Drosophila melanogaster: one gene and its partners. The protein of the gene in region 3 interacts with the protein of the main gene of each other region in a pairwise test. Each region holds a gene or a part of one and is shown on either strand. Other genes may lie near its edges.

Region 1 (6,916 bases), on a different chromosome or scaffold from region 3:
ATGCTCGTTGGCCATGTTGTCCATATCGTTGCTGAGCCACTCGAACTCGGCCTCCTTCTCCTCGGAGGCGATGTAGGAGCTCCTCTTGGGCTGCTCCTTCTTCATGTTGAAGAATTGACCGAGCAGCGGCTTCAGCAGATTCTTCAGGCGACGCGAAGGCGAGACTTTCGATTTGTACATGGTGTTGAGGGTCTTCTGCTTGCTGATGGCCGACATTAGATGAATTTCGTTCAGATATTTTCTGGTGGTGAGTGCGTAGAATGCGTGCTGGGATGTTCTCGCTTCGACGTTCGGATGCTGTGTGATGCTGTCACTAAGATTAGAGGCGCTATTTATACTTTCTTGGGAGACAGGAGCGATGCTACAGCATCTCAGCCAATCACGTCGCTCGGAAGGCAGGCAGGTGCAAGGATCCGAAATTTCACACGTTAGTCAGTGGCAGCAGGTAGGTCCTGCAGGACCTGAGATTCGAGATCTTGTGCGAAGCGTGGGAATCTCGGGCCCATTCCTCCTTTCAAGACAATTATCCCCGGGTTCCAAACGAATCCTTGGCGTGGGAACAGCACATTGCCGGCCTTCTCTCGGAGACCCAGTTATTGTTTTGGATTTCGACTGGGTTTGTTTTGCCAGTTCATCAGAAATATGTCGATCCTGTAACCGAAAACCAGCTACAATCTAAGCCAAATTTACACAAATCGTGCACTTTCATTCTTATGTTTTTCGGTTCGGTTGATTAGGGATGGCATCGCAGAAAGTCCTTTGAGGCACGATCTTGAGAATTCTCACGTTCAGTTGGGGAGCTCCTCGTATTTTGGTTACTTGGGCAGCGGGCTTCCCAAATATTTTCGTGTCACGACAGAGGGTTTCATTTTTGAACATCTCTAGTCCTCACTTTTTTGGTTCAGACCCCTCAATTAATTGTAGAATGGGGGTTCATTTTTTGTGAATGTATCGTATTATAACTCATTTATTGTGGGATGTGGTGATTGCTCGCCTTACATTTATATTTACAGCCTGTGAGAATTTGTAACCCGTGTTTAAATGGTTGAAAAGATCCTAAAGAAATATAAAACTGCAGATGAGGTCTGTTTAGATGTTTGGGCCCTATTGATATCAAATTGTGTTTGTAGCAATCACTAATATAAATTTACTTGAGGTTTCATTTTTTCTATTACTTAGGGCCACAAAAGAGCTGAAATCCTCAGAGACAAATATTTTGTTTTGAAGAAGTATGATGTCTATGGTTTGTTAAGTAAGTGGTCTTAGAATCTTTAAATAAATAATAATAATGAATATTAATTAATTAGTCATATATATTTGCATATATGATACATATCATAAAATATTGTTGTTTTTAATAAAGCGACGACAACACATTTTTTGCGACTATCTTATAAACGAATTTATTGTAATGTTTAGTAATGGTTTAAATATTGTTATTTGATTTACCCCAACTCAAACAAAATCCTACACATAACAGAGTTTGAATCACAAAAATAAAAAATAAGAGTTTAATAAAATTAAATTCAACGCCCAAATCTATAAATTATTTTAATATTTATGTAATTATCTTGATTTCAAACACAAATATTTATTTAGATTTATTAATATCAATTAAACTTTTGTTTCTTTAATAAAATTATCATCATCATATCATCATATCATTATCTTTGTATTATATCATTGCCCATTTAAAACTCCAACGGGTCCTGTAACCTGTAACATTATCCCGAACTGTACTTGGTTGTATGCTTTCAATAAGGAATCTGCATCGACTTTATGTAAAACTATTTACATAACGCACACACGATCTTATGTACGAGAATGCCCCCTTTGAAATGCCATAAAGATCGAACCGAACCGTGCGGCCTTTTCGCATTTATTATTGAGATAGGATTGGCTTTGTTTCTGCTCGTAGCGTAGGGCCCCTGCCTTTTTTGTTTATCATCCGAGGGACTGGGACCGGGACCCTCTACCTGTTCCGATGCAATTCGAGATTTATTTTGTCCAGGGCCCAACCCTAAGAAGGAGCGCTGAAAACGAAAATCAGAAATCGCCTGGAGGTAACAGGTTTCCCCGGCTCACTCGGCTTGATTTTTCGAGTTTTTCGAATCCACAACAGGTTTCCAACAAAAGGGAACAGGTAAAGGTTTTGTTTTTCGAGTTAAGGTTCTTAGGGTCTCGCTGTTCCGTGAATGTGGAAGGGTCAGGGGTACGGGATAAGAACGGTTTTTGGCTTACAGATTCTTGGAAAAACCTTCGAGGAAATTACAATGACAAAGGGAAAGTTCGAATAAGAAATCAGAAATGCAAACAAGTTTCGGTATTAATATTATGTATTTATTCATACTCTCTTAAACATAGATGGAAGACAATGATTAAAGCTGGATATTTGTGCATTTCATTTTAAAATCTCCACTTGCACAGTGTGGAGAGTTAAAGCTGTTGCGGATGATGTTTAGAGACCGAATCCGTTGGAGTCTTTAAAGCTGATTGGAAAGTGGTATTTTTTTTCGGATTTCCCATTTTCCTCGATTACAGTTGGACGAGCTCGGCTTCCAATTGCTCGTTCTGGGAGTTCTGCAGCTCCTCCTCGGAAGTGGGCAGTGGGAGCTCCTTCGGCATGGAGTGGTTCTTCAGTTGCTGGTGGCCCGATGCCTTGAAGATTTTGCAGGCCACCTTGAAGATCTTCTTCATGGCCTTGGCGGGTGTGTAGGTCTTCTTCTGGCAGACAGGAGTGGTGGTGTAGATGGTGGTGTTCATCAGAGTTTCGTAGGCCATTTTTGCTAGTTAGTAGTTTGCTTGCTTGGTCGACTGATCTTGGCTGTTCAACGTTGCGATTGAATGTGATGTCCTATTCGGAATTGCGCACCGCTTAAATACCCGATCCTTGCGAAAGCAACCCCTAAGTCAACCAATCAGGACGAGTCCTAGCGCGCAGGTGTTTCTCGGTCTCTCAAAATATGAGAGTCACGCATTCCTCAACTCTCTGCAGGTAGTTCGGGATCGTTTCGGGTCCCTTTTTTGAGCGACCCTTGCACGTGTGCGAAGTAAGGCCACAATTTTCGTAGGCCCTAAATAAATCTCTCCCTCGATTTCGTTTTCGTCGTGGGAGAGTATAATTTCAGTCGAATGCCAATAGGAGGACGATGCCGGCAAGCATAACAAATAGCCAAAAAATGAAAGAAATGAAAAAATAAACGATCATCCCTTTTCCATCGGGTTCGGGTTAGTAATTTGAGTGGTTTGTTTGCGGAGGACTCGGCTCGAATTTATGCCTTGATTAGTTTTTGGCTATTAATTGTTAATAGGCTGACAGTGGAGGATAAAAGTGACAGACCCTCGTTAAACACATGTTGTCGGCAAACGAGAAATATTTACACGTCAACATTTCATTTTTGATCAGTACAGGTAGACTGTGGTCCTTTCGAGTACAGTGAACATTCGCTCGAAGGTGTGCAGGGATTTTCAAGATTCCACACTCACTGCAGCGTAGTTGCTCTGGCAGGCTTCACTGTCCTCACACTTGTTCTTCGGGGTTGTTTTGGTCCTTGGCAAAATTTGAATTTGGAGCGTAATGAAACTCGAATTTCTTCGTTTATTGCATGAAAGGTTTCTTTATCTTTCCCTTAAATCTGCTATAGGGATTTAAGATATTTTTGGATTTCTTGTTGCATGGAACCACCACTTGGAAATATGGTTTTCTGTGACAGGTTTCACTGTCCCCACACTTGTGTGTTGGTTCGGGCTCTCCAAGAAAATTAAAATTTCGTCTCTTGTTGAAATTCGAATTTCGTCTCCTATTGAAATACTTGGCACTTGTAATTTGGGATTCATTCGTATTCCAATCCAGTTGCATTAGATGGAGTGGGATAGGATCCTGGCCCATCCACTTGGGGGGTGACCAACCAGGAACCTAGCGTGCTTGTGGCTCGCTTAACTATTCCACAGGCATAATTCCCCATAAGCACTTGAAGATTTTATTTTGGTGGCGTTTCAAGTTTAGTTGTTAGTGTCAGGTTTCCTGAAATTCAAGCGCCAGAATGAAGCCTGCATAATTAGCTTGTGGCTATCGTGAAACAAAATATTGTGGATCGAGTGTTGTAATATGACTTATGTTGCATTTTTCTTATAAAAAAAAATTATTTACACTGAAAATACATGTATTCTTTAATACATAATTCTTTATCTTTATTTTATTTCAGTTCGGTGGCTTGTTAGCCGTATATACATACATATTATATATGATATTATTGTGATAAATATTTATCATTGACTCATTTAAAGAATTTTGAGAATTCACGCGTTTGTAGCACATTCAAAATTTTTAAAAATTATTTTATTCATTTTAGACTGGGTTATTTGATATGGTTTTCTTATAATTAGTTCTTGAAGAATTCTTTGTAGTATTTTAATATTTGTAGATACAAACAGTAATTTTTTTTAACCATAATATTTTTTTTTTATTTTACTTTGCTTTTATTTATTGAATCTTCTTGTATAAGAACTAACAATAAGTTTAAAAATCTTAACTATAACAAGTATTTTTTGAACAGTTGTATTATTTTTCCAACTGTTCTATGTTTAAACGGCCCTAATAATTTATTCGCTGGGTTGGTAGGTCCTTTCGCCGGAGACGGGAACGGCTGCTGAGCTGGATTAGACCTCGCGCTAGGTGGTTGGGGTGCGTGTGAAGCGTGTGAACCATAATATGATATGAAAAGATATGATATTTACTATACCAATATTTTCGAAATATAAATAGAATAAATAAATAAATACATATATACTACAAAGGTATATATTAGGTATATTTGAAACAAAAATCATATTTTAACGATAACAGATGCAGAAATTGTATGAAAGACAAAAAATAATATTTGGTGAATATTATATTAGCCTGTGGTCAGGCTAAATATAAATGTAAATAAAATTCTTTATTGTTCTTACGGAAGTATTTCCAACTGCCTACCAGCAGCATTTTTGGATTCAAATGGTCTCCAAGCAGGAATGAATGCAGTCACTAATTGGAATGTGTTCACCAGCATAGCGAGTCCAATTTAAAATCCATTCTTCAAATCAGAATTGTACAGAGTAGCCGAATTTAACTATACTTACAATGGTCATTCAATTTGGGATTTTTCTTTTCCAACCTTATTCATATTATTTCATATCAGTTTTCAGAATAAAGAGACATTAGAATTTCCTTTTTTCGATTTATTTATTTCTTATATGATATTAGTGTTTATAGCTAAAGTTTTACATGGAAGACAATGATTCTTAGCCTAATTCTTATACGAAGACCCTAACAAACAAACATGGAAGACAATGATTCGGCTAAGACTAACTTAAGGCTAATAAGACACGATAAATCACAATGAGTTAACGATAGTAACGCTTGATTGTGATAATTGAATATCAATTAGAGTTGTGTTTCCCTTGGGACGCGAGCCCAAAGAATCCAATCTATGCCTAATATCACCCTGAGATTACGAACATGCGAAGCTGAACCCGCATCCATCCGACGACCAATGGACGGAGACACTTGCACTTAAAGCTGCCAATTGGAGTTTTTCCCGGTGCATCGAGAAGTGGAACTGTGCATCCTGGCGATGTTTAGGCCTGAACCCAACGGTCGAACTGCTGGCGCAACTGCTGTTCGTGGTGCTGGCGAGCTCCCTCGGCTGAGGTCCAGAAGAAGGTGCCGCTGGTGGTGCGGGCGAAGTGGACCGGGATGAAGGTCTGCTCCGGATGGACGGGCACGATGCTCTGTTGCTGACCCTGCTGCACGATCATGGCCACGTTGGTGGGGCACTGGCGGAGATCGGTGTACAGTCGCTGCTCCAGCTCCTCGTTGGCCATGTTATCGCAACTGGCCGCCGGATCTTTGCGCATGTCCTCCAGCGAGGCGTTGACTGCATTTTGGTTCTGGATCTCGGCCAGAGTCTTCCGGAGTAGCTGCTTCTTCTTCACCAGTCGCAGAAGGGGTTTGACCAGTTTCCTCAGACTCCGCATGGCCATCGTGTGCTGATCTGATTTCGGCTCCATCACCTTGCTGCTCTCAAACTTGTATTCCCGTGTGATGAACGACATTGTGTTGAGGATTGTTGAGATTTATAATAAAACTTGGGATCTTAGTTGGTTGCACTCGGTTGAGAGTTGGTAGTATTCTGGTTTTCCTGCTGCACGACCGACTCCTTATATACGATTTGCTCTCTTTGGTTTCTCTCGGCGGGGGAGAATTCTCGCACAGAGCGGCGGTTCTCTCGATCGATGGACCCAGCCAATGGGAAGGCAGACTGCCTGCAGGTGGTTGCACAAACAGTGAGAGCGGGAGACAAAAGAGAGCCAAGAGAAAGCGGTCTCGGAATCAGGAGCATGTCCTTACCCTTGAGAAAGCAGGGTATGATGAATTTTTGAGTCTGTGCATAAAAAATAGATTTTACGAAAAATAAGGTTAATATGTTTTTATTGTGTGTATATCTTTTAAGTGTATTTTTTCTAAAAAAAATTATTTATAATAGTAATATTGAAAGGGGCCATATAAGGTTGAATTTAATTGAATTGAATTCATTGAATTTATAATAACTATAGTAATAAGATCATAAACTTGATGAAAAATATCAATATTTAAGGACTCTATTAAAATTAAACTTAAAAGACTAGCAAGAATAAAATGTATCCTAAAATATTTGGTATACAACTAAATTAAAAACTATTTAAAATTAAATAATTAAGATCGGCACAGCCTTACAAAAAAAGTTTTCCTTAACAGCACACTGCTAAATTAAGGTATGTAGGAAGTACATCGGTAAAATTACAATAAATACAAAGAGATCGTTGTATATTTAACAATTATTTAGTATTTTACTAATGGTATTTATTTTTTGGAACATAGCATACCATACTAAGTCAT
Region 2 (6,698 bases), on a different chromosome or scaffold from region 3:
GGCCACGGTTGTGGTGGCGGTGCAGAAGGCTCAGCTGGAAAGGGACCTCCGCGATGTGCAGGACAAGATCGATGTGTTCGAGGAGTGGAGCGGAGAGAGCCGCACTCGCATGAAGCGTGAAGATACGGTGTGTAATCACTTGCTAATCAGTTGAATCCATTTACTACCATAATCTAACCCTGAAGACGGATTACCGCCTGCCCACGAATCTGGTGCCCACGCACTACGAGCTCTACTGGCATCCGGATCTGGAGACAGGAAACTTCACCGGACAACAGAGGATCAGCATCAAGGTGGTGGAGGCCACTAATCAGATTATTCTGCACTCATATCTCCTGGATATCACAAGTGTCTATGTGCTGAATAGAGAGGTGGAAAAGTTTGAGCTTGAGGAGGAACGTCAGTTCCTGATCATAACTTTGACGGAAGAGCTGGCGGTGGACGCCAGCATTACTCTCGGAATCATTTTTGGTGGACAGATGAAGGATAAGCTTGTGGGTCTCTACAGCAGTACATATCTAAACGAGGCAGGAGCTACCAGGTATTTCGGATATTTTTACGTTATGCCCAAAAGTATGCAATGTGTTCTTATGACCAGATCTGGATTTGTTGTTTTGTTTTGAATTTTTATTTGAATACTTTTTCAATATATAAATTAATATTTTCCTTATGCAGAACCATTTCTACGACGAAATTCGAACCCACTTACGCGCGTCAGGCCTTCCCATGCTTCGATGAACCAGCCATGAAGGCCACATTCGCCATTACAGTGGTTCATCCATCGGGATCCTACCACGCCGTTTCCAACATGCAACAAACGGTGAGCTCAAGTAAACAAACAATTTAAATGGGTTAAACAAAATTTAAATAATAGGAATCCAATTATCTGGGTGACTATACTGAGGCCATCTTCGAGACGAGTGTGTCGATGAGCACCTACCTGGTATGCATCATTGTGTCCGACTTCGCTTCCCAATCGACCACGGTGAAGGCCAACGGAATTGGCGAGGACTTCTCCATGCAAGCCTATGCCACCTCGCATCAGATCAACAAGGTCGAGTTTGCTCTGGAGTTCGGACAAGCTGTCACGGAGTACTATATTCAGTACTATAAGGTGCCCTATCCGCTGACCAAACTGGACATGGCCGCCATTCCCGACTTTGCATCTGGGGCCATGGAGCACTGGGGATTGGTGACTTACAGAGAGACCGCTCTGCTGTACGATCCCAGTTACAGTTCCACAGCGAACAAACAATCGATAGCCGGAACACTGGCCCATGAGATTGCACACCAGTGGTTCGGAAACCTGGTCACCATGAAGTGGTGGAACGATCTGTGGCTGAACGAGGGATTCGCCCGCTACATGCAGTACAAGGGAGTCAATGCTGTGCACCCGGACTGGGGAATGGTAAGGAAATGGATAATACCGATTTGAATCCTCAAAGAAAATATCTTATATTTACCAATCAGCTGGAGCAATTCCAAATCGTGGCCCTGCAACCCGTGTTGTTATACGATGCCAAGCTATCATCCCATCCGATTGTCCAGAAGGTAGAAAGCCCCGATGAAATTACGGCCATATTCGACACCATCAGTTACGAAAAGGGAGGATCCGTGATCCGCATGCTGGAGACACTTGTGGGCGCCGAAAAGTTTGAGGAGGCGGTGACCAATTACCTGGTCAAGCATCAGTTCAATAACACGGTGACCGACGATTTCCTCACCGAAGTCGAAGCTGTGGTAACTGACTTGGATATCAAGAAACTGATGCTCACCTGGACCGAACAGATGGGTTATCCGGTGTTGAATGTCTCCAAGGTTGCAGATGGTAGTTTTAAGGTTACCCAGCAGCGATTCCTCTCCAATCCAGCCAGTTACGAGGAAGCCCCTTCAGATAGCGCATACGGATACAAATGGAGTGTTCCGATTACCTGGTTTGCTGATGATGGTTCAGAGAACAGCTTCATATACGACTACGATGTGGACTCTGTGGGTATTGCCGTGCCCAGCGAGGTGCAGTGGATCAAGTTGAATGTCAACCAAACGGGCTACTATCGGGTTAACTACGAGGAGAGCCTGTGGGCCCTGCTCATCCAGCAGCTAACCACCAGTCCCGCTCGATTCGAAATCGCCGATCGTGGCCATCTTTTGAACGATGCCTTCGCCCTGGCGGATGCCAACCAACTATCCTACAAAATTCCTCTGGATATGACCGCTTACTTGGCCCAGGAGCGCGACTTCGTGCCCTGGTATGTGGCCTCCAATAAGCTGAGGTCGCTCCATCGCAGTCTCATGTTCAGCGAGGGATACGTGTCGTACCTCACCTATGCCAGAAGTCTGATCGCTGGCGTATACGAGGAGGTGGGTTGGACTGTGGACGCCGACAATCACTTGAAGAAGTACGTATATAAGTACCAACTTGTTTTTCTGAAAACATTACTCAAACTACTGTTATTCAAACAATCTTTATTCCTTTGCAGCCGCCTGCGTGTTTCCATTTTGACCGCCGCCTGTGCCCTGGGTGTTCCAGATTGTCTGCAGCAGGCTTCCGAGCGCTTCAGCACCTTCCTGGAGAATCCGACCACTCGACCTTCCCCCGATCTTCGCGAGATTGTCTACTACTACGGCATGCAGCAGTCCACCAGCCAATCGAGCTGGGATCAGTTGTTCCAACTCTTTGTGGCCGAAACCGATGCCAGCGAGAAACTGAAGCTGATGTACGGATTGTCTGGCGTACGGAACAGCCAGTATCTGTTCGACTTCCTGGCACAGGCCTCCAGTGATGAGAGCATCGTTCGCTCCCAGGACTATTTCACCTGTGTGCAGTACATAGCCGCCAATCCTGTGGGTGAACCGGTGGTCTGGGAATTCTACCGCGAACAGTGGCCCCAACTCACCACCCGTTTTGGCCTGAACAACCGCAACTTTGGACGACTTATCGCCCAGATTACGGCCAACTTTGCCAGCTCCGTGAAACTGGAGGAGGTTCAGCACTTCTTCTCCAAGTACCCCGAATCGGGAGCTGGAGCTAACTCCCGGTTGGAGGCCGTGGAAACCATCAAGTACAACATCGAATGGCTATCCAGAAACGAAGCTGACATCACCGACTGGCTAAGTGGAACGGCCTCGCCGCTGACCAAGAAAAACCAATTGTAAAATTGTATATTGTATATAAACTGGCCATTTAGCCAATAATTAGAGTTGCATAAGCGAAAATTCCGTTCGAGTTCAATAAAATGAAATTTCAAAATCAAACCATAAATACAACCCCCATATTTTCATTCATTTTATCCGAGGCAAGTGGGGATTTCTATAGCTTCTAGGAAATAATTGGAGATAGGGTCTTTGAGTATATGGTCAATGCGGAATCATGACCATGCGTAATTATCCTGAGTAATTAGAGTGTCCAGTCATAATAGTCGATATATGGCCTTGTTCGAATCGTAAAAGTAATGGTCTAGCATAAAACGATTTTATCTGGACACGAAGCTATATAGTATATAGTCTAGATATCGGTCAGCAATCTGATCAGGTTTATCAAGTCCAAATTGTGGGGTCAGATTCGCAACTTGCATTCAGTTTCCAATTTGGCTTCCAGCCTAGTGGAAGCAGTCGAGTAATTTTCATCGAAAAAAGAATATCCCTAAAAATGGTTGCCTGTGAGTCTTCTATATAGAGTAGCATATCCCGAAGGAACAGTAACTAATGTGAACTCATTTTAGGGCTGACGGTTAAGTCAGTGGCCATCTTTTTGGGCCTGGCCTCTACTGCTTTTTGTGTGGCCACGATTGTGCTGGCCGTTCAGAATGCGGACCTGGAGAACGATCTGCAGGATGCCCTCGATAAGATCGACGCATTGACGGTGGACACCACGTCCACGTCCTCCACCTCTACCAGCACTTCCACGACCACCACCACTGCAAATCCCAATGGGCCCACGGATGACACCGAGCCTGGCTCTACCACCACACCTGGCGTAGGAGGTGACACAACCCCCAGTGCAGGAACATCTCCGGGTGGTGAAACTTCGCCATCATCCAGTACAGGAAGCACCACCAATCCCATCTATCCGACATTGCCGACAGGACTTCCTGATCCTGAAAAGGTGAGTGAAGTGCAAGAAAAATATATTTCACGGCTATAAAAGATGTTAGTTCAGAAAAACCCTCACACAGAGTGGGAAAATTTTCAGCGATTAGACGTAAAGTCGGCATGGCTACTAATTTCGAATTTATTAAGTTCCAACTTAGTCTTACTGGTCATTTCAAGTGCTTATCGCTTGGCTAGCGTTTTTTTTCCTCTTTTTTATCATAATACAAAACGGGTCTAATTTCTTGGGTCTTTTAAGTTAGTTTAATTGCGGCTAACGCAGTGTTAGGAGCCACAAAAATGGGACACATGCAGGACAGGATTAAGGGTATTTATTGATAACGAAGGAAGTTTTGGGAAAACACCGATACCGATTCATGTATATTTTCATAGACTTGATCACCGCTGAGCGCGTGGCTATATTCTTTGGTCTATTATCGACCTGCTTGATCGTTGCCCTTGTCATTGTGGCCGTCCACAGGGATAATTTATTGCTGCAGTTGGACGAAGCCAAAAGGATGTTGGATGTTCTGGAGGAATACATTCAAAGCCACTTGTTGTCCACCATTTCGGAAAGAAATTCATAAGAATTAGGGTGCTGGCAAACATTCAAAAAGATGGCTTTCAAATCCATATCTATTTCCAAAAATGGTTAAAGCAATAAAGCAATAAAGGCAAACGGATAAGAAACCAAAATACGCTTAGGTTTCAATATTTGTGTAGTAGAGCTATTGTTGTTTGATATCTGAAATTGCACCTAATAAATTAGGACCCTAATTTCACAACATTTAGCCACTATATCCAGCTAAGGCATATTTGTTGCAACGACGTCCACTTGGTTTACGACCTGACCACAACAGTGCTATTTCCTATCGCCACCTTATCAACGCATTGCTCACTTAATAGGGCCAAAGCCCATTATCGATGGCGTGGATATTAAATAAACTTTACGACCCCGCAGATCGAATGGCGCCTGCCCACGGAACTGACGCCCATCAAGTACAAGGTGTACTACCATCCCGACTTGACGACCGGCGCCTGTGAGGGAACCGTGTCCATTCAGTTCCAGCTGAACGCGATCACCAACCTGATCGTCCTGCACGCCAAGGAGCTCAATGTGCACAGCATCAGCATCCTGAACATGATGGCGCGCATACGCGTGGCCATCGATAGCATCAACTTGGATGAGTCCCGGGAGCTGCTCCTGATCACGCTAAGAGAGGTCCTCAGTATGAACAAGGCCTACACACTGTCCGCAAGTTTCGACTGCGATCTGAGCAGTCTGGTGGGCAGCTACATCAGCAACTACACGAATGCCGATGGAGTAGATAGGTGAGTAATTTTAAGGTATATCTTGCGATGACAAACATTTTGTTAGCATGTCTAGACTAAGATGTCAGGTATCTTTATTATATCGTACTATTTATGTAGCTAAGATCGTATCTAGTGCACTGTCCGCAACTAGTACGATTGCAAGCACACTTGTGAATACCCCCAATGCATTGGAGATCATCGCATGTTGGGGCCATAAAAAAGCCGGTCTCAGCTGATGAGAGAGCTTTCCGGAGAAGCTCGAGTGCCGTGACAACTTTGGAGCCCGCTTCAGTCGGAAGTTCAGAGCAGAGCGCGACGGTCGCGATAGAAAAGAGCGGACTCCGTCTGCAAATACGATCTCAATTACGATTCTCGCGATTCCCCTTTCTTTTCGCTTTTCTTCGTTTTCTCGGATTTCTCGAGTGCGCGCCTACGATTTGAATCAAGAATGATAGCTGTCCGGCAATTGCCGTTATCAAATTAGCCGAGTGAATATTCCTCGGACCCGGCAAAGTTACAATTAATGCCATTCGTAGACAAAAGAAAAACGAAAAACGAGACACGAAAAGCTGTGATTTCAACTGTAAATCAAGTAAAAGGCATAGTGCGAAATGTGACGGGAATAATAGATAATAAGTGGCCCATATCAATCAGATACCGTTGAGTCCGCTCCAAAAGCTCCACGCCAATACAAAATGACCATTGTCACCGCATCGCCGTTATGCGATCAAAATTCTAGTTTTAATTGGGCGCATTGAGGCGATCACTATTTTTAATATTCGCTGAAATGTGACCACCGGATTCTATGCCAACTTTGACTTTCAACGGGTATTCGTTTCGATAAACAACGGGCCATCGCAGGCTGGCCAAGAGAACTCCACATGGCTGAATCAAACAGGTTGCACCGCTCCCTTCCCCTCCCCTCCTTCTTTCCCACACCCCTTTGGGACCGCTGCAAACAGGCTTGGAGCCAAATGCATACATAGTTCACTTGCCGCGCAAGTTCTTGGCCTTAAATCGGCCACAATCGATGCACAGCAAAAAAAAAAAGAAAAGAATTATATCTATCGTAGCCCATTATCAGATTATATTGGTATGTCTCTTATCAACGAGAAGTAGATTCTGTTCGTAGTTGCATTCTTTGACATTTATCAACAATTGTTACCAATCTGATTATAAGAAAAATTAATATCACAGTTTTTTTAATTATCAATATTATCAATATTATAAATTGTATATATAAATACAATTACGGCAATTAGACATTTTACTTCTTCATTAGATCTTCAATTTGT
Region 3 (8,520 bases):
TCGGGTCGCAGCAGGATGTGCTCCAGCTGCGACTTCTTCTGGTACATCTGTTCGATGGACAGGGCCTTGTTTCCGTTCTCCATGATGCTTCTGTCGCTGTGCTTTAGCTGAATCTTCAAAGAGTAAGCAAAAGGCATTTGTTAATGTAATATTAATATTAATAACTAATATTCCGAGCCATTGCCTTAGCTACTATTAATCACTCGTCCTGCGTTCTACTAAGTAAAAAAAAAACCAAAGCTACTAGCAGAAGACTACAGTACCCACCCAGTTAACAGTTGCTATTAGTATATTAGTAATATTATGTTCACGTTTTTTTTTTAATTGTTATAATACCAAATAAGATAGATGGCACCCAATATGTTTAATGGCCTCTTAATAACGGGGATGGTTGTGCGTTGGCATGTGATGCCAATGCTGCTGATGCTGCTGTTCAACAATTTTTTATTAATGAATGCGCACTGTACCCACGGTGAAAAAAAAAAACAAAACGCGCGCCCGCGCATTGCGTAAATGCCGTCCAGACAAACGCTGCAATGGAATGGGACTTGGCCAACATGGGAAATGGTTGGGTACGTCAAACAGAAATAACTGCAGATAAATTGAAAAACGTCAAACTAAGTATTATTTTGCCTGGTGCTACTGTACTGGGAACAGATTTTCAGCACACTTTGAAATACATAACAGCCCTGTCTCTTTGGCGGCAACGCTTGGCGTGCGCCGTCTGTTGCGTGAGTGTGCGTGTTTATTGGCGTTTGCCGGTAGTCACCGCTATTTATTATTTCTTATTAAGGTTCTTCGAGGGGTTTCACTTTATAGTAAACAAATTCAGGCCTACATACGCGCTCCGCGCTACAAAATCAAAAAACTATGGTTTTTAAAGGCCCAAAATTAGCTAAATGTCTATACCGGTATCGCCATTTTTAATTTGCAAGCGACGCCACCGAAAAATTGCTATATCCATCATATTAAAGGATTAATTAGACAGGGCTCTTAGGTTCTACGGTACAGCCAATTCTACGATTATGATTCAGCACTTTCTGCTTACCTGGTTAAAAAATTGCCAAGTATTTGTGGCCTTTTCTTGCTGCCGCCGACAACCGAAGTGCGGCAAAACTCTATGTTGCAGGCGATACACGAGGCGGTGCACTACAATTTTCGACTTGTACGTGCCCCACGCGTCTGCTGCCTTTAGCTAAAACTTGTACAGTTCTCAACTAACTATTAAAATACGCACAGCACATTTAACAACTTTTCACAACCGACAACAAATGAGAAGTATTGCTGGTTTTAGAGCTGGCAAGGCGCACAAATCGATGTTTGAATGAAATCGCTATCGATAAGTCCCATAACAGTGTTGTTTGGGTTGGTGCATACGCTCATTGTGAACAGGGCTAAACTAGTAACTGCGGTCGGTGACTCCGCTAAAAGCGTGATCGCCAAAATCACGGTTTTTTAGTTCTATCTCAATCACGTGATGAGTTAAGCAACAGTTAATTCTAAAAAATTCGAAGGTAATAAATAATAATAACATTTTTGGGGTTAAATTCTTTTTCGAGTCGAAAGTAGGGGTTTTAATTATTCCAACTAACATTTCTTCTATTTTTTACATTATAAATCGGCATTGAAATAAATGTAAAAAAGATAAAATATTTCGATCTAAATGCAAATTATCAAAAATTTAAGACAAAGTAAAACCATTAAGAAATTTATCCTTTCATATGCTTAGTATTGTATCCCACATCAATGTGATATACAGCAATTACTTAAAATGAAATGAAATGAAAAATTGCTGCTAAAGTTGCATTTGTGCAATTAAATTTCGCACCGTTGAAGTGAAGATTGCTTTTCAATTAACCACCTGGTAATATGAATATTCCAAAGCCAAGACCATGGCTACAAGAGAACTGGTTTTCTTTCTGCCATTTTGCCTGACCTTGCCCAACACGACGTCATAAAGGGGCATGTCCCTCCCCATCCCGTTGCGATTTTCATTCCGGCTCAGAAACATGTTTTGAATAGTGCAAACAAAATATAAAGATTCTGGATTCATCCGAGTTACTCGGAATTTCTGCTTGGGTAATGGAGAACCCTTCACGCAGTGACGTCACCGGAGCTCATTGAACTTGCACAGCATCGAATATCGTCCAGAAATATTCTCTACTCCTCCAAATCTGTTGATTCTCGTTTGACAAGCATCAGCAAAGATCTCTCAATATGCGGAGTGCAGTTTGTACCCTGCCAAATTGGGAATTTCAGCTGATGCATGGGAAAATTGTGAACTAGCGGAGTTAAGTGCAGTTTATTCCAGGATACTATTAGCAAGTTGAACAAGATGTGAGCTAAAACTCCTAAGATTTGGTAAGATAAAAAGATAAACATAAGTACTACAATTAGCAATTAGTTTCTTTTTTTTTTTTTTGAATAAATTGTATGTATATGTATTGTTAATCAACAAATTTTACTTAATTGCGTTTTTAAGGGTGTTTGCATCGTCGTTTCATCGAGCTGGCTCTCCCTATTTTCAGATGCTGGTTTCTCGTTCTCGCATACTGGTTTATAGTCATAAGTGCTGCGCTTTTTCTCGACTTTTTCCATTGAGACTTGTGTTCATAAAATCTTCTGTTCTAAGCGATCCCCAGCTCAGTTTCATTCCAAGCTTCTGCGATGCCACTTGTGTGCGATCTTCGTTAAGTCGGATTCCCCGTACTGCAAGCTGGAAAAAATAGAAACCGTGACCAGAAACAGTAACCGCCACTCGGATTGGATTATTACCTGGTAATGAAAGTGAAGACCCCGAGCTAATGGGGCGATTTAAACAGGTGTTTAAAGGTGCAGGTGGGGCTGTGAAATAATCGCTTATTATCAAACACCCTAATGGGGGGCACTATTATTGTGATTATCTTGGGATTATCAAATCCATGTAGACAATTAACGACAACAATGGCGAGTTCATTAACACTTGAACCGAACTACGAGTATGTATGTGCTGGGACTTAAGCACTGCAATCAGGCGTACTTAAAAGTGCATAATGTGTAATTAGTTGGAATTTGTTGAATATGATTAAATATTGACCCAGGCACTTTGCACGGCCACCACGTGTGAAATTTGTGTGTGCTGCACTTTGAGATCGCGGTGGCATCATCTCACAGTATCTGCCAAATACGCGTCGAACTCACACAACGCTGCACCGCACAGACCCCAAGCGACCCGATTAGCCATTGGCGAACTGGGAACGCGGCGGATAATGCCTTATCAGGCAGTGGCTCCTCTACAATCGCGGGGTTCACTGGGGGCAAGTTTGGGTCTGGCTCTGCGTTTTGGGGTGTAGGGATAGGAATTGGGAAATCCGGCCAAGGCCAGGTCGAGGTACACCTAACAAGAGCACATATTTTGGGGCTGATGCTGAACACTATGCAATTCCAAGATTAAGCTAGCAATGTAACAATCGGTACTAACCCCCAATTAGTATATATTTATATTATATATATATATATTATTATATTATATTAATATATTTTAAATGATTTTAAAAATTTTAATGATTTCATTTTGCATACATTGTTTTGAAAGTGTACCTACCTAATGTATTGATTGCTGGAAACAACCAACCCAAAGGCAATGTTTCTAAAAACTAAGTGCAGCCAAAACTGAGTAATTGCACAACACTTTACTTATACTATATTGTTTATAATTCTTGTGGATTCCCGCTCCATCAATTAAGTACAGCAGATTCACTAAATTTAGCTCGAGCTCAGTGACACACTGTTATCACTCATCGGCTGTCTCCTTCGCGCTATCGCAATGTTCATTGTTGTTCGGTTTCTAGTTAATATTTAATGGTCGCATACACACTCGTACATGTTTAGCGACAAGTAAAACAGCATTTCGCCTGGGACTGTCACCACTTGGCCCGATTCTGGTTCCGATCGGGGGCTCAGTTTCACACTTGGAGTCGAGCGGATCACAGCCCATAAATGGTAACAACGAGAAATTCATCCAGCAGTGACATGCCAAATCTCTCTGAAATTTAAATGTCAATACGGGTGGCGAAATGTTGCTAACAACGAAACAATCGGGAACAGTCATATTGCGCTATTCTCAACTGGATTTATTTTTATTTACATTTTGCGCGAGTGAAAAGCGCTTATCAATGCACCACCCCCTTATGGCCACATTGTATCTATAGTTTGGGCTTTTTTTAGACGACCAGCAGTGGATGCCGCACCATGCCCACCATCGAGCACAAGCTAAACATCACCGAGGAGGAGGTTCCGGAGCACATCCGCCGACTTGCCCAGGAGCAGGGAGAGTGTCCCAGTTCCAAGGATAAGGTCATCGAACAATTCCGTAACTACATACTAGGTTGGTTATAGTCCGTTGTCTAAGAGGTACAAAGGTATTCATCTGAACAAAACCTCTCCAGAACATAATGAATGCCAACCACACAGAAGTGATGCGAAGTACCTGGAGAAATTCCTAAGAGCCCGCTACTGGAAAATCGAGAACAGTTACAAATTGGTAAGAAAACTTGGGGAAATCTTCATTTTAGTTTGCCAACAGCAAGTGACTATTTGATAATTATCTATTAGGTAAATGCAATAACTCATTCCCTTTCAGCTCTGCAGTTACTACAGGTTTCGGGAGCAGAACAAAAGCTTTTATGAGAAGGTTCGTCCTCTGGACCTGAGACATGTTGGGCAATCGGACATCCTGACAGTGACTCCCTATCGGGATCAACATGGCCATAGGATACTCATCTACCGATTCGGACTGTGGCGACCCAATCAAGTAACCGTCGACGATATATTTCGCGCCACCATTGTCCTGCAGGAACTGGGCAGCCTGGAACCCATCTCACAGATTGTCGGAGGAGTGGGAATATTCGATCTGAAGGACCTGGGCTTGGAACACATACTCCACCTGAGTCCCAGCGTGGCTCAGAAGATGATTGCTCTACTAGTGGTAGGATAACTACTTTTTATTATTTTCAATAGCTTTTTTAACCTACACTTGGCTTGCAGACCTCCATGCCCATTAGAACATCCGCCCTTCATATTGTAAATCAGAATTGGGTCTTCAACGCGGCATTCAAGATATTTAAACCTTTCCTCAACGCCGCTATGCGAGAAAAGCTATACATCCATGGCAGTGACATGACTTCCCTGCACAAACACATCAACCCAGAACATCTTCCCAAGCGGTAAGTAAAATGGTTTTTTTTTTTTATTAAAATAATTAGTCAGATATAATTAAACTTATACTATTTCAGCTATGGTGGCTTGCACGAGGACTACTCTTATACGCTCTGGTTGGATATGCTGAAGGAGCAGTGTTCGGGCAATAGTATCCAAAAGGATATGGAGCAATTGGGATTCATCTTTGACTAGGCTTCATGCCTTGTTTAAAATGATATGCTTGATACTTGTATTTTTGTACTACATATATGTTAAGTAATGATACCAGAATCAATTGAAGCAAAGTAGGTGATATTTTAAATATTAAAGAATTTCGAAAATTACTTCTACGCAATATTACTCACCAAACAATTCATTTGAGTTTCGTTCCCAACAATTTGAGGTTAGAAGCGGCATAAACCGTAATGCTTCATACATTTGGCGGTCACATCAATGACCCATCGGCTATCACGACCAAATTCGGGGCAAAAGGCAATAATAATTTGTTCCTAACCGAATCAAATGGCCCGGCTAGCCCGCAAAACATTCGTTTCGGTTAGGATGTATAGCATATTGGTCCTTTGAGTTTTATGCGATTCGTATGCAAAATGCGTTAGGTGCTAGAGCGAGACAACTGGCCACACGACCATTCGCCGTTATGGTAATTGAGTGTTGGACAACGCATAAAATGCAGTCGGTAGCCATAAATATGTTTGCACTCGTCCTGTCACCGGATGTGAGCGAGAGGGGAGATCGAGCTCGACGAACAGAAGGAGGGTGCTGGAGATTTCGATTCCTCCATCTGACCGTTGCGAATATGTTTGATATTTTTTATTGAATCCCGTTGTCTCAACGCTATCCTCCGACCCCCGGAAGTCATTGCCGTCTGCGTAAAAAACGGTAAAGAATTACTTTCTCGACTTAAAGTTACTCTGTATTGTCAATTAGGTTTCATGGTTAAGATTTAGAAATTTATATATGGTTACACCCAAAGCTTCAGAGTTTAGAGCATATACTATATATAAACTGAAATTAAGTATATATAATTAAATGTTTGCTTTCGGTTAAAAGTATATTGCTTCACAAATTTTTTTCGTCCAAGTGCAGGGTGTCCAAAGTCAGAATCCTGCCCCCTCTATTCTCCGCAATGGCCTTGCTTTTCCGTTTGGTCAACGATAGTGAAATTGATTTCGGTGCTACCGGGGGTCTAGGTTGGCATTATGCGTATTATGTGTATGTGGCTCGATTGTGGGGATGGGGGTGGCCATAATCTGTGTGCGTGCTGGACAGCTGTGTGAGTGCGTATAAAGGACAGCGACATTTGTGCGATTAAAGCGACAAGATTAAAAAATTTATTGCGCAAATATTTATGGGGGGACAGTAACACAGTGGCAGTCAGAACGGAAAAAACATTCGGACAAAAAACACACATCGCATAGCCTACATTTGGGGGGCACGACCGATGCGCGTTATTAGTTGGCTTTTTGGCATTTCGGCTTTTGGCTTCTGGCTTCTGGCAACACGTGTGTGAGGCGAAACCGAGCTGGACATAATTTATGGCTGGCAAACTGAATTTATTCGAGTTTTATTGAAAAACAAAGAAGGCGGTCAGAAGGGGCAAAGGATTCGTTTTCTTCAACATGTGCTGTCTTTTAAGTAGCCAATGTCTTGGGGATTTCGAGATACACATAAATATATCATTCCGAGGACGACAGAAATCTTTTTGACCAGTAACTAAAGGAAAGTCATTACAAATTGAGCAAACGAGTATCCAAAACCATTTAAAACCACTTAGATAGTTCGCTGGATTATTAACTTTAAAGGGAACCATAGTTGGTACTTGTTTGATTTCTAATTAGTGTCATTGTGTGTCTCTTCTATTAGTATGCTCTGAACTCAATTTACTCTTGAAATAACCTCCGATTTATTATTCCGTAGACATGCAGAAAGCCAAATTCCCCAAAGAACTTCCTCAATTCGAACTCATCTGCTTCCGCATCTCACTTCCGAAATTGGCCATATTATCCAGGAGACACATTTGAGGGCGTTCCCCGGCTGTCAACTGTCACCGAAGGCAGTGTCAAACTGACAGTCGTTGACATCCGTTGACAGTGTACCTGACCTCAATTTTTCCCTCTCTCCCAGAAGATATGTTTGCAACCCTAAACGGATAATTGCTTCCTAATGAGCTGGCAAGGGTGACCCCGACCGAATCAACCCCTCACTCACACCCCGTTTGGGTTTCCTTATCACCGAAGGCGGTTTATCACGCGGCGATTGGCAGGCAGATCCCAGGCCAAAAGCAAAACACAATAGGAACAAATAAATTATGTCCAGCGATTTGTAAACAAACATCAACTGTGCCGAACGGGGGTCAATTTCCCACTGCCCCGCGAAGTGAGGATTGTTCGGGCTTGGGGGATTTCCATAAATAAGGACCAGGCCAGACCAGTATAATTGAAATATTCGCTGTCAATTTGTTGACTCCGGAAGACGACGACTCCAGGCCCGAGGCGAAGGTGTAAGCTGCATAAATGGTGGATCGTTATGGTTCTGTTGCCACAGACACCGATTACCACAGGTCCTGCCGCAGGACGAAGTATGTTTGCTCGGCGAAGGACCTCCCAAGTGATAAATGGTTGCGAAATTTATTTACTTTGCACTACCGACTGCCAACTGTGTGTGTGCCAGAGAAAATTATGTGTGATTATGAGCTATTGAAACATCATAGGGACATTTTGTGTTTAGAATTTGCTTTTAAAAAATAAATAGGAATTTCTTAAAGCGAATAACTTTTTTACTTGATTAAATAGTTTTGTAGAATTTAATTTCTATGTTTTTTAAAAGGCCAACATTAGGTTAAGAAGTATGTATGTTTCCTAGAAATAAAGGTTGCTAGCTAGCCTTTTGGACGAGAATTTTTGCTTTTAAATGAGTGATTTTGAGTCTCATCCTAAAATTAAAACTGGTGCACATGCACTAACTTCCAGTCTATCTTGATCCTCCGTCACAAGTCATTAATGCTGTATTGGAAAAGTAGGAGCATAAATCGCGTAAAAACTCATTGTGCAACAACACAAAGGAGACCCCCAATGGAGTTGCACTCCCGCTGAGATATGTGGATGGAAAGTGAGGTGGTGGCTGGTTTTCCACCGGGGTACGGAAGGTAAATTGACGTGAACATGTCAACGTTATTTGCCATTTCAAAATCGATTTTTTGTAGATTCACCAGGAGACGCTCGTGATAAAACACGACTATACTTCGTGCTTAAAGTGCACTTGAGGCGATGATCTGCGGGATTCCGGGGGCGATGGGGATGGACTGTCGGGTACAATCAATCA
Region 4 (8,504 bases), on a different chromosome or scaffold from region 3:
CGATCACTGGCCGCACTACTTTATTATATTATACAAACTGCGTGTGTGCCCTGCGAATCGGACCAATATGCTCTCAATCTCGAGCTACTTTCGACTGCCCCTATACACGCGGCTGGCAGTTTGCATCCTGATCTGCGTGATTTTGAATGACTGCGAGGCCAGGAGTATTGGCGACGAGTCCCATGAGAACGCGATTACGGATGAGACGGCCGACTACCTGCGATCCCATGGCGCCATGATGAAGTCCTATATGAACTTCAGCGTCGATCCGTGCGACGACTTCTACGAGTTCGCGTGCGGCAACTGGAAGAACGTGAAAACGCCGCGGCAATCGCCCCATAGGCGGAGCAATATTCTGGACATCAGCTACACACTGATGGACGTGACGGAGCAGCTGCTGACCAGGACAAAGTTGGCGGAGGCACTGAACGTGTCCGCCGAGCTGCTCGTTGCACAACGCTTCTACAATTCCTGCCTGGCGGCCGAGCTCTTTCCGCGGCCCGCTGCCGATCCCGCTTATCTATCGGTTATCAGGTCGCTGGGTGGTTTTCCCGCCGTCGACAGAGACGCCTGGAACGCCTCCAGCTTCAGTTGGTTCAACATGAGCGCCCATCTCAGCAACTACGGCGTTCGCAGTTTGATCCACGAAGAAATTCTGCCGCAGCATCCCTTCAATCCGTACTTCAAGCTACCCGAACTGGGCTTTGACCATGTCGTCCACACCGCTCACGTTGCCAATACGAGCTCGCGGGCCTACCAGCTCAACGAGCATCGCATGCGTGGCTACCTGAAGGAATACAATCTCACGAAGGATGAAATCTCTGCCGTGATCGAAGGCGTCTTTGCTTTTTGGAGCGAGGCGCTCAGTATTGAGGATAAGTTCGAGAGCGATAGGGATAAGTGCGATTTGCTCAGTGAGATTGAGGAGGTGCCGCGATTTGGTCAGTGGAGGAGCTACTACGAGATAGCCTGGAATGGTATAGACTTTTACAACGGCTCGTCCGGTGGCGAATTCTGCGACTTTTACTATGTGGAGCTCGACAAGGTGTGCGCCAAGCATACGGAGGCGGTGGCCAATTATCTAGCCATGCGGTTTCTCTACCGCATGGACGACAAGCTGAAGGAGCCCAAGCAGCCGGAGGACCAAAAGGTTAACTGCTTGATGATCGTCCAGATGACGCTGCCAAATCTGTTCAACAGGCTCTACATGGCGGTGAGTTGGATGCTGTGAATATGTGAAGCTTAGCTTTTCAATTGATATCAACTAACTTTCATAGGAGCACTTCACCGACGAGAAGCACTCGGAGATCTCTGACATGGTGACCGAAATGCGAAAGGCCCAGCGACAGATCCTCGAGAGTGTGGAGTGGTTGGACGCGGAGACGCGAGCAGAGGCTCTGAGCAAGGAGGCCGGCATCACGCCAGTAATCGGCAGTTACAAAAACGAAGAGCTGTCGGACACTCTAATCCGCGAGATCAACAATCTGACCATTGTTGAAGGCAGCTATGCCCAGAGTTTGATCAATCTGCGAGTATTGGGCACCTATCTTCATCGCTACGCTGGCTTACATGCGGACGAGCTGCCCAAGGACACAAAGCCACTGACACTGCTCGTGGGAATGCAGGTGAACGCCTTCTACTACAATCTGGATAACTCGGTGTACGTGATGGCGGGAGTACTGCATCCGCCTGCGTACCACCGTTCATGGCCCGATTCCTTGAAGTTCGGCACCATTGGCTATCTGATAGGTCACGAGTTGACCCACGGCTTCGATACGGAGGGCTCCAGTTTCGACAGCGCCGGCGAAGTACGCGACTGGTGGTCCAGGAAGTCGGAGGCGGTATTCCAGGAACGGGCGCAGTGCTATGTGGATTACTTCAACCAATACTTGATACCGGAAATCAACCAGACAATTCGCGGCAATGAGACAAGGGACGAGAACATAGCGGACGCCGGTGGCTTGAGGGCCGCACTCACCGGCTATCGAAACCACATGAAGCAGCTGCAACGAAGTGGAGCGGATGGGGAGACGTTGGCTCACAAAAACGAGCAGATGCCCGGCCTCGACCTGTCGCCGGAGCAGCTCTTCTTCGTGGGATTCGCGCAGCTGTGGTGCGCCGACTACGAGCCGGAGCACTACTGGGAGGAGCTCACTGGCGCACATACCGTCGATAAGTATCGGGTGCTGGGTGCCGTTTCCAACAACGACGATTTTGCTGAGGTCTACAAGTGCCCACTGGGCAGTCCAATGCATCCGAAGGCTGAGAGTTGTCGGATGTGGTGACCATAAGTCGTATATAAAGGAAAAGATGTAAAATACTCTAGATGTTCAACTACAAAATAAATGAAAACAGGAAAAATAATGCAAATCGACGATATAGTCTTACACATTTCTGCAATTGAGTTAACTCACTCGACTTTACCCATTTACTCTTAATAGTCTCTTTATTTCTAATTGGTTTTAATGAGCAACGTGCTCTGAGGATTTGAAGGCGTTGGGTCCCCGGTAATTCTCGACCAGCAGGGATTTGTAGCGCCTCAGGTGGACGCTGAGTCCTTCCTCGCGCTCGCTGACGGAGAGGATTGAGACGCGGGCCACGACCAGATGGGAAGGATTCGATTGACTAAAGCCTCGGATTACGTCGATTTCATCGCCGACTTCCAGCTGTAAATGGTAAATCATAAGATTGAATTCGATCTATATATGGACTCCATACCTGGGCACTCTTTTTGGGCAGCTTCTTTCCATTGACGCGTATCTTGCTCTCGTAGAAATTCAGTTCCACTTTGCTGTGGGAGGTAAGACATCATGGTTATTGGGGGCATTTAGAAAACCTTCGGCTGTTTCTTACTTTCTCGCCATGCCCAGGCCAGCTTTCAGTAGGAGATCGGCGCGCAGTGAGTTCACCTTGGTCTTGACCACCTTGGAGTCCCTTTCGTCCTTGAAATCCTCATCATCCTCGTCGTCGCTGTCCAAGTCATCCGATGCTCGTGAGGATTTCTTGTCGTACTTCCACGCTGAAGCACTGGTGTGTACAGGAGCCTGCAGCTCTAAGGTGGTTGAGAGTTTAGGCAGACTTTTAGATGGAAATGGCGTCCTTAGGGATCTTCCTAGTCGGGCTATTTGACGAAAAGTCCGGAGCATTTTGTGTGGGCGCCTTAACAATTACGATAACAAACTGAATAACATAACCTAAAAACTACAGCTGTTGCGGTGGCGTTGCCAACCATCTCTAGGACTTGTTTGCCTTTTTGTTTCGTTTCTTTTTGGGTTTCTTGTCGGGATTAGGACGCACTTGGTAGACAGTAAGGGGGCGATAGTTGTGCAGATCTGCGGGCAGGAAATCATCATCATCATGTGGCTCCACCTCCATGGGCTCTGGGCTGGGGGACTTCTCTTTTTTAACAGGGTTATTTTTGACTTCTACTACCGGCTTTTTACTTTTGGCTTTCATTGCCAAATTACTGAGGGCATTGCCCAGTTTTTGGGTCTCCACCTGGACATCCACGCGGTCCAACTTTACTGAGGGTTCGTCCGAGAAGCAGGATATGAAATCATCACCCCAATCCTTCTTTTCAGCCACTGGGAGCTGCGGTTTTTTTTCCTCTTCGGCTGGTTTGATTATTTCGGGTTTCTTCTTGGGTTTTTTGTGCGTTTTCGGGGCTATCTTCTTAGCAGGTGTAGGTGTTCTCTTTCGGGCAGTAATCCACTGTTCCAAGTCCTCGCTTATTGCTTTCAAATCTAATGGCAAGGCCAAGGAAAGCGCTCTAACGCCAAAGATTTCCTGGGTAAGCTCCTCCAGTTTGGGCTGCGCGTAAATGGGAGCCGTGGGCATCTTGACAGATGCACTGGTGGCCATTAGACGGACGAGGTGAGTTGGTCGCAGGCTCAAGGAAACCAATAGGCAGGAGAAACGCCGCGAGTTTATGGCGCGTAGGGAGCTCTCCAGGCCGAGATGTATTCCGTATCGAGTGGCAAACGATTTGGTCTGCCCGTCGCTGCTTTTAATTGCATTCTGAAGGATCTGACGGAACTGCTGCACTTCCTCCTCCGATAAAAGAGGGCTAAAGTCAAAAGAAACAACCTGTTGATTGGGTTTTTATTGGTTTCTGCCCGCCTCACCTGTGCTGTTTGTAAGGATTGGCTAGAATATTGCGCAGTTTGGGCAGCAATTTCTTTTTGCCCTTAGCTTCTTTCTGTTTTATGCTGGACAAACTCATGTTTACGATATAAACTAATAAAAAATAAAAAATTTCTGCTGAAAAATCAAACAACAATGTGTTTGGCTTTTGGCCAGTGTGACCGCGTTTCTTAGTTTAAAATAAGCCATAGCTTAAATCGCGTTGCCAATTGCTTTACGTTTTTATTTAAATTAAAACTCTTAATTTTTGCTTCTAAAAATTTTTAATCAAACTCTTAATTTTTATTTGCAATCATTTTCAGTACCAGTAAAGTTCCGGCTCCGTGTCCGAAGAGTACTTCAATTTTCTCGGTCTCTGGCGAACGTAATCTTCGACGAAATTCAATTGCCTTGGTGTTGTGGTTTCTACTTGAGTTTCTACTATTTCCGTTGTTGTTAAATTAAATCCAAATGGTGTTGATAATGTAGAACTTTCCTCTTCGGTGCTGTCAATCACTGCATCCAGATACGACGTGGTAGTTTCCACGCCCGGAGTCGTGGCAATGATTTCCAGCAAGGATGTAGTAGATTCCTGGGTTTCTGTGGTTGAAAACAATTCTTCTGTTGAAGTTTCTGCTGTTTCAGTTGTAGTTTGATCTGTGGATAATGCAAACGTGGATTCGTTCGGTTCTGTGGTAGAATCAGCAGATTCAGTCGTTGATTCCGGCAATTCTGTAGTGCTTGGATTGATTTCTATTTCTGTGGTAGTTTTTATTAGTTCTTTCTCTGAAAATTCAGAACTTAAAGTAGTCGTTGATTCCGGAAATTCCGTAGTACTTGGCATAAACTCTGTTGTTGTTGATTCCTGCAATCCTGTAGAGCTCTGAATGGTTTCTGTAGTAGTTTCTTGCCATCCTGTAGATAAATCTGGATAAATTAACGTTGATTCAGCATATTCAGTACTGTCTGAATTGCTTTCTGTCGTTGAATCTGCAGCTTCTGGACTCGAAGTTGTTGTGGAATATAGGGCTACTGATTCAGTGGCATCTATAGCATCTGTGCTGGTGACTTCCGGCCAAGCTGTTGTCGTGGAATATAAAGTATCCGTGGTTGAAGTTACATAACTAGATTCGGTGGTTGAATAATCCACCGCCGTAGTTGTAGATTCCTCAGTGGCACTTTTCTCCGTTGTAGTAGATACTTCCCCAGTGAAGTAGCCAGTAGTCTCCTGCGGATTGGTGGCCACCGTAGTTGTGTCCCAAAAATCTCCATCGAACGGATTGGTAAAATTTACGATGCGCGGCTTGTAGGGTGTGTAGATTTTGGCTTTGTAAGGCTTGTGGTTCTTGATGTATTCCTTGGCTATGCTAATCCACTCCTCGCGACCGAGAATATCGTTTAAATTTCGGCTTGAGGCCACAAAATGCGCCATTAAAAGAAGCAAACAGAATTTTCTCATTATGATGCTGATACCTTCGGTTGACACTTTCGACTAATTACCTTTGGCGACTGCAGTGCAATATAAACGCAAGGGTCTACCTACGTTTCAACGCGTATTTTAGCTACCTGCTTTCTTGGCAAAAACGTTAATTAGCCCTAATGAACTGGAAAATTCAAATGTTGCCGCCAGGGCTGCAAGCGCTTACTTTATTTGTGCTGGCAATGCCGTAGGTAATGCCGGCCGCTTAACAGCTGAGTGTTTTTCGGGGAAGAAGAAGAACAGCGTGTTTGCAGTCCGCGTTTTTGTGTAAAAATTGTGAATAATTATATTATTTGCAGTTTTCTTACGTTTTAAAGAAGAATTTAGCAATCAGAAGGTCCTGTAACAATTGGTAAGTCGGTAAAAACAACAAAAAACAAGAGTAGCATAAGTTTCGAGTCACCGTGAAAGTTTTAAATTTTCTAAGACGCCACCGGCAAATTTTGAATGAAAGTATTGATATATATATTTATTTTAGGAAAAACCATGGATTCCGATTTGTACGATGAGTTTGGCAACTATATTGGCCCCGATTTAGACAGCGACGAGGAAGATGAGCAAAGTATTTATGGGCAACCCGATGTGCAGGATGACCCAGAGGTATAAACGTGCAAAAAATAAAATAAAACTTATAATTAATTTATGGTGTTTCATTTAAAGGACGCCATGGACGAGGACGAGGTGGAGCCACAGGAGGACGAGGACAAGGAGGTGACCGCCGTGGTTTTGCACGAGGACAAACGCTACTATCCGTCAGCAGTTGAGGTCTACGGCCCGGATGTGGAGACCATTGTCCAGGAGGAGGACGCCCAGCCGCTGGACAAGCCGCTTATAGAGCCAGTGAAGAAGCTCAAGTTCCAGATCAAGGAGCACGTGGGCATCTTGACAGATGCACTGGTGGCCATTAGACGGACGAGGTGAGTTGGTCGCAGGCTCAAGGAAACCAATAGGCAGGAGAAACGCCGCGAGTTTATGGCGCGTAGGGAGCTCTCCAGGCCGAGATGTATTCCGTATCGAGTGGCAAACGATTTGGTCTGCCCGTCGCTGCTTTTAATTGCATTCTGAAGGATCTGACGGAACTGCTGCACTTCCTCCTCCGATAAAAGAGGGCTAAAGTCAAAAGAAACAACCTGTTGATTGGGTTTTTATTGGTTTCTGCCCGCCTCACCTGTGCTGTTTGTAAGGATTGGCTAGAATATTGCGCAGTTTGGGCAGCAATTTCTTTTTGCCCTTAGCTTCTTTCTGTTTTATGCTGGACAAACTCATGTTTACGATATAAACTAATAAAAAATAAAAAATTTCTGCTGAAAAATCAAACAACAATGTGTTTGGCTTTTGGCCAGTGTGACCGCGTTTCTTAGTTTAAAATAAGCCATAGCTTAAATCGCGTTGCCAATTGCTTTACGTTTTTATTTAAATTAAAACTCTTAATTTTTGCTTCTAAAAATTTTTAATCAAACTCTTAATTTTTATTTGCAATCATTTTCAGTACCAGTAAAGTTCCGGCTCCGTGTCCGAAGAGTACTTCAATTTTCTCGGTCTCTGGCGAACGTAATCTTCGACGAAATTCAATTGCCTTGGTGTTGTGGTTTCTACTTGAGTTTCTACTATTTCCGTTGTTGTTAAATTAAATCCAAATGGTGTTGATAATGTAGAACTTTCCTCTTCGGTGCTGTCAATCACTGCATCCAGATACGACGTGGTAGTTTCCACGCCCGGAGTCGTGGCAATGATTTCCAGCAAGGATGTAGTAGATTCCTGGGTTTCTGTGGTTGAAAACAATTCTTCTGTTGAAGTTTCTGCTGTTTCAGTTGTAGTTTGATCTGTGGATAATGCAAACGTGGATTCGTTCGGTTCTGTGGTAGAATCAGCAGATTCAGTCGTTGATTCCGGCAATTCTGTAGTGCTTGGATTGATTTCTATTTCTGTGGTAGTTTTTATTAGTTCTTTCTCTGAAAATTCAGAACTTAAAGTAGTCGTTGATTCCGGAAATTCCGTAGTACTTGGCATAAACTCTGTTGTTGTTGATTCCTGCAATCCTGTAGAGCTCTGAATGGTTTCTGTAGTAGTTTCTTGCCATCCTGTAGATAAATCTGGATAAATTAACGTTGATTCAGCATATTCAGTACTGTCTGAATTGCTTTCTGTCGTTGAATCTGCAGCTTCTGGACTCGAAGTTGTTGTGGAATATAGGGCTACTGATTCAGTGGCATCTATAGCATCTGTGCTGGTGACTTCCGGCCAAGCTGTTGTCGTGGAATATAAAGTATCCGTGGTTGAAGTTACATAACTAGATTCGGTGGTTGAATAATCCACCGCCGTAGTTGTAGATTCCTCAGTGGCACTTTTCTCCGTTGTAGTAGATACTTCCCCAGTGAAGTAGCCAGTAGTCTCCTGCGGATTGGTGGCCACCGTAGTTGTGTCCCAAAAATCTCCATCGAACGGATTGGTAAAATTTACGATGCGCGGCTTGTAGGGTGTGTAGATTTTGGCTTTGTAAGGCTTGTGGTTCTTGATGTATTCCTTGGCTATGCTAATCCACTCCTCGCGACCGAGAATATCGTTTAAATTTCGGCTTGAGGCCACAAAATGCGCCATTAAAAGAAGCAAACAGAATTTTCTCATTATGATGCTGATACCTTCGGTTGACACTTTCGACTAATTACCTTTGGCGACTGCAGTGCAATATAAACGCAAGGGTCTACCTACGTTTCAACGCGTATTTTAGCTACCTGCTTTCTTGGCAAAAACGTTAATTAGCCCTAATGAACTGGAAAATTCAAATGTTGCCGCCAGGGCTGCAAGCGCTTACTTTATTTGTGCTGGCAATGCCGTAGGTAATGCCGGCCGCTTAACAGCTGAGTGTTTTTCGGGGAAGAAGAAGAACAGCGTGTTTGCAGTC

Evidence for each region.
Region 1: the proteins of CG10026 (region 3) and Brd interact in a two-hybrid assay, tested with the Drosophila melanogaster proteins (one large-scale study listed by BioGRID).
Region 2: the proteins of CG10026 (region 3) and CG43208 interact in a two-hybrid assay, tested with the Drosophila melanogaster proteins (one large-scale study listed by BioGRID).
Region 4: the proteins of CG10026 (region 3) and CG4884 interact in a two-hybrid assay, tested with the Drosophila melanogaster proteins (one large-scale study listed by BioGRID).

What each region holds. Positions count from the first base shown.
Region 1 is NT_037436.4:14,968,604-14,975,519, reverse strand, and holds Brd (bearded), read right to left. Parts: upstream 2,854-6,916; 5' UTR 2,782-2,853; coding exon 2,536-2,781; 3' UTR 2,322-2,535; downstream 1-2,321. Other genes in the region: ocho, read right to left, coding at 1-216; Tom (twin of m4), read right to left, coding at 5,617-6,093.
Region 2 is NT_033777.3:13,299,076-13,305,773, forward strand, and holds CG43208 (uncharacterized protein), read left to right. Parts: upstream 1-4,350; 5' UTR 4,351-4,389; coding exon 4,390-4,417; intron 4,418-4,482; coding exon 4,483-4,676; 3' UTR 4,677-4,781; downstream 4,782-6,698. Other genes in the region: CG8774 (uncharacterized protein), read left to right, coding at 1-127, 186-541, 676-820, 875-1,408, 1,471-2,399, 2,481-3,156.
Region 3 is NT_033779.5:19,452,203-19,460,722, forward strand, and holds CG10026 (uncharacterized protein), read left to right. Parts: upstream 1-3,475; 5' UTR 3,476-3,978; coding exon 3,979-3,981; intron 3,982-4,206; coding exon 4,207-4,366; intron 4,367-4,427; coding exon 4,428-4,522; intron 4,523-4,621; coding exon 4,622-4,966; intron 4,967-5,025; coding exon 5,026-5,204; intron 5,205-5,273; coding exon 5,274-5,391; 3' UTR 5,392-5,521; downstream 5,522-8,520. Other genes in the region: Top2 (topoisomerase 2), read right to left, coding at 1-83.
Region 4 is NT_033777.3:27,954,954-27,963,457, forward strand, and holds CG4884 (uncharacterized protein), read right to left. Parts: upstream 4,293-8,504; 5' UTR 4,223-4,292; coding exon of another isoform or gene 4,125-4,222; intron 4,067-4,124; coding exon of another isoform or gene 3,235-4,066; 5' UTR 3,147-3,234; coding exon 2,854-3,146; intron 2,792-2,853; coding exon 2,719-2,791; intron 2,667-2,718; coding exon 2,463-2,666; 3' UTR 2,403-2,462; downstream 1-2,402. Other genes in the region: Nep7 (neprilysin 7), read left to right, coding at 68-1,213, 1,278-2,285; CG42487 (uncharacterized protein), read right to left, coding at 3,235-4,066, 4,125-4,222; CG31253 (uncharacterized protein), read right to left, coding at 4,442-5,581; CG31131 (uncharacterized protein), read right to left, coding at 7,088-8,227.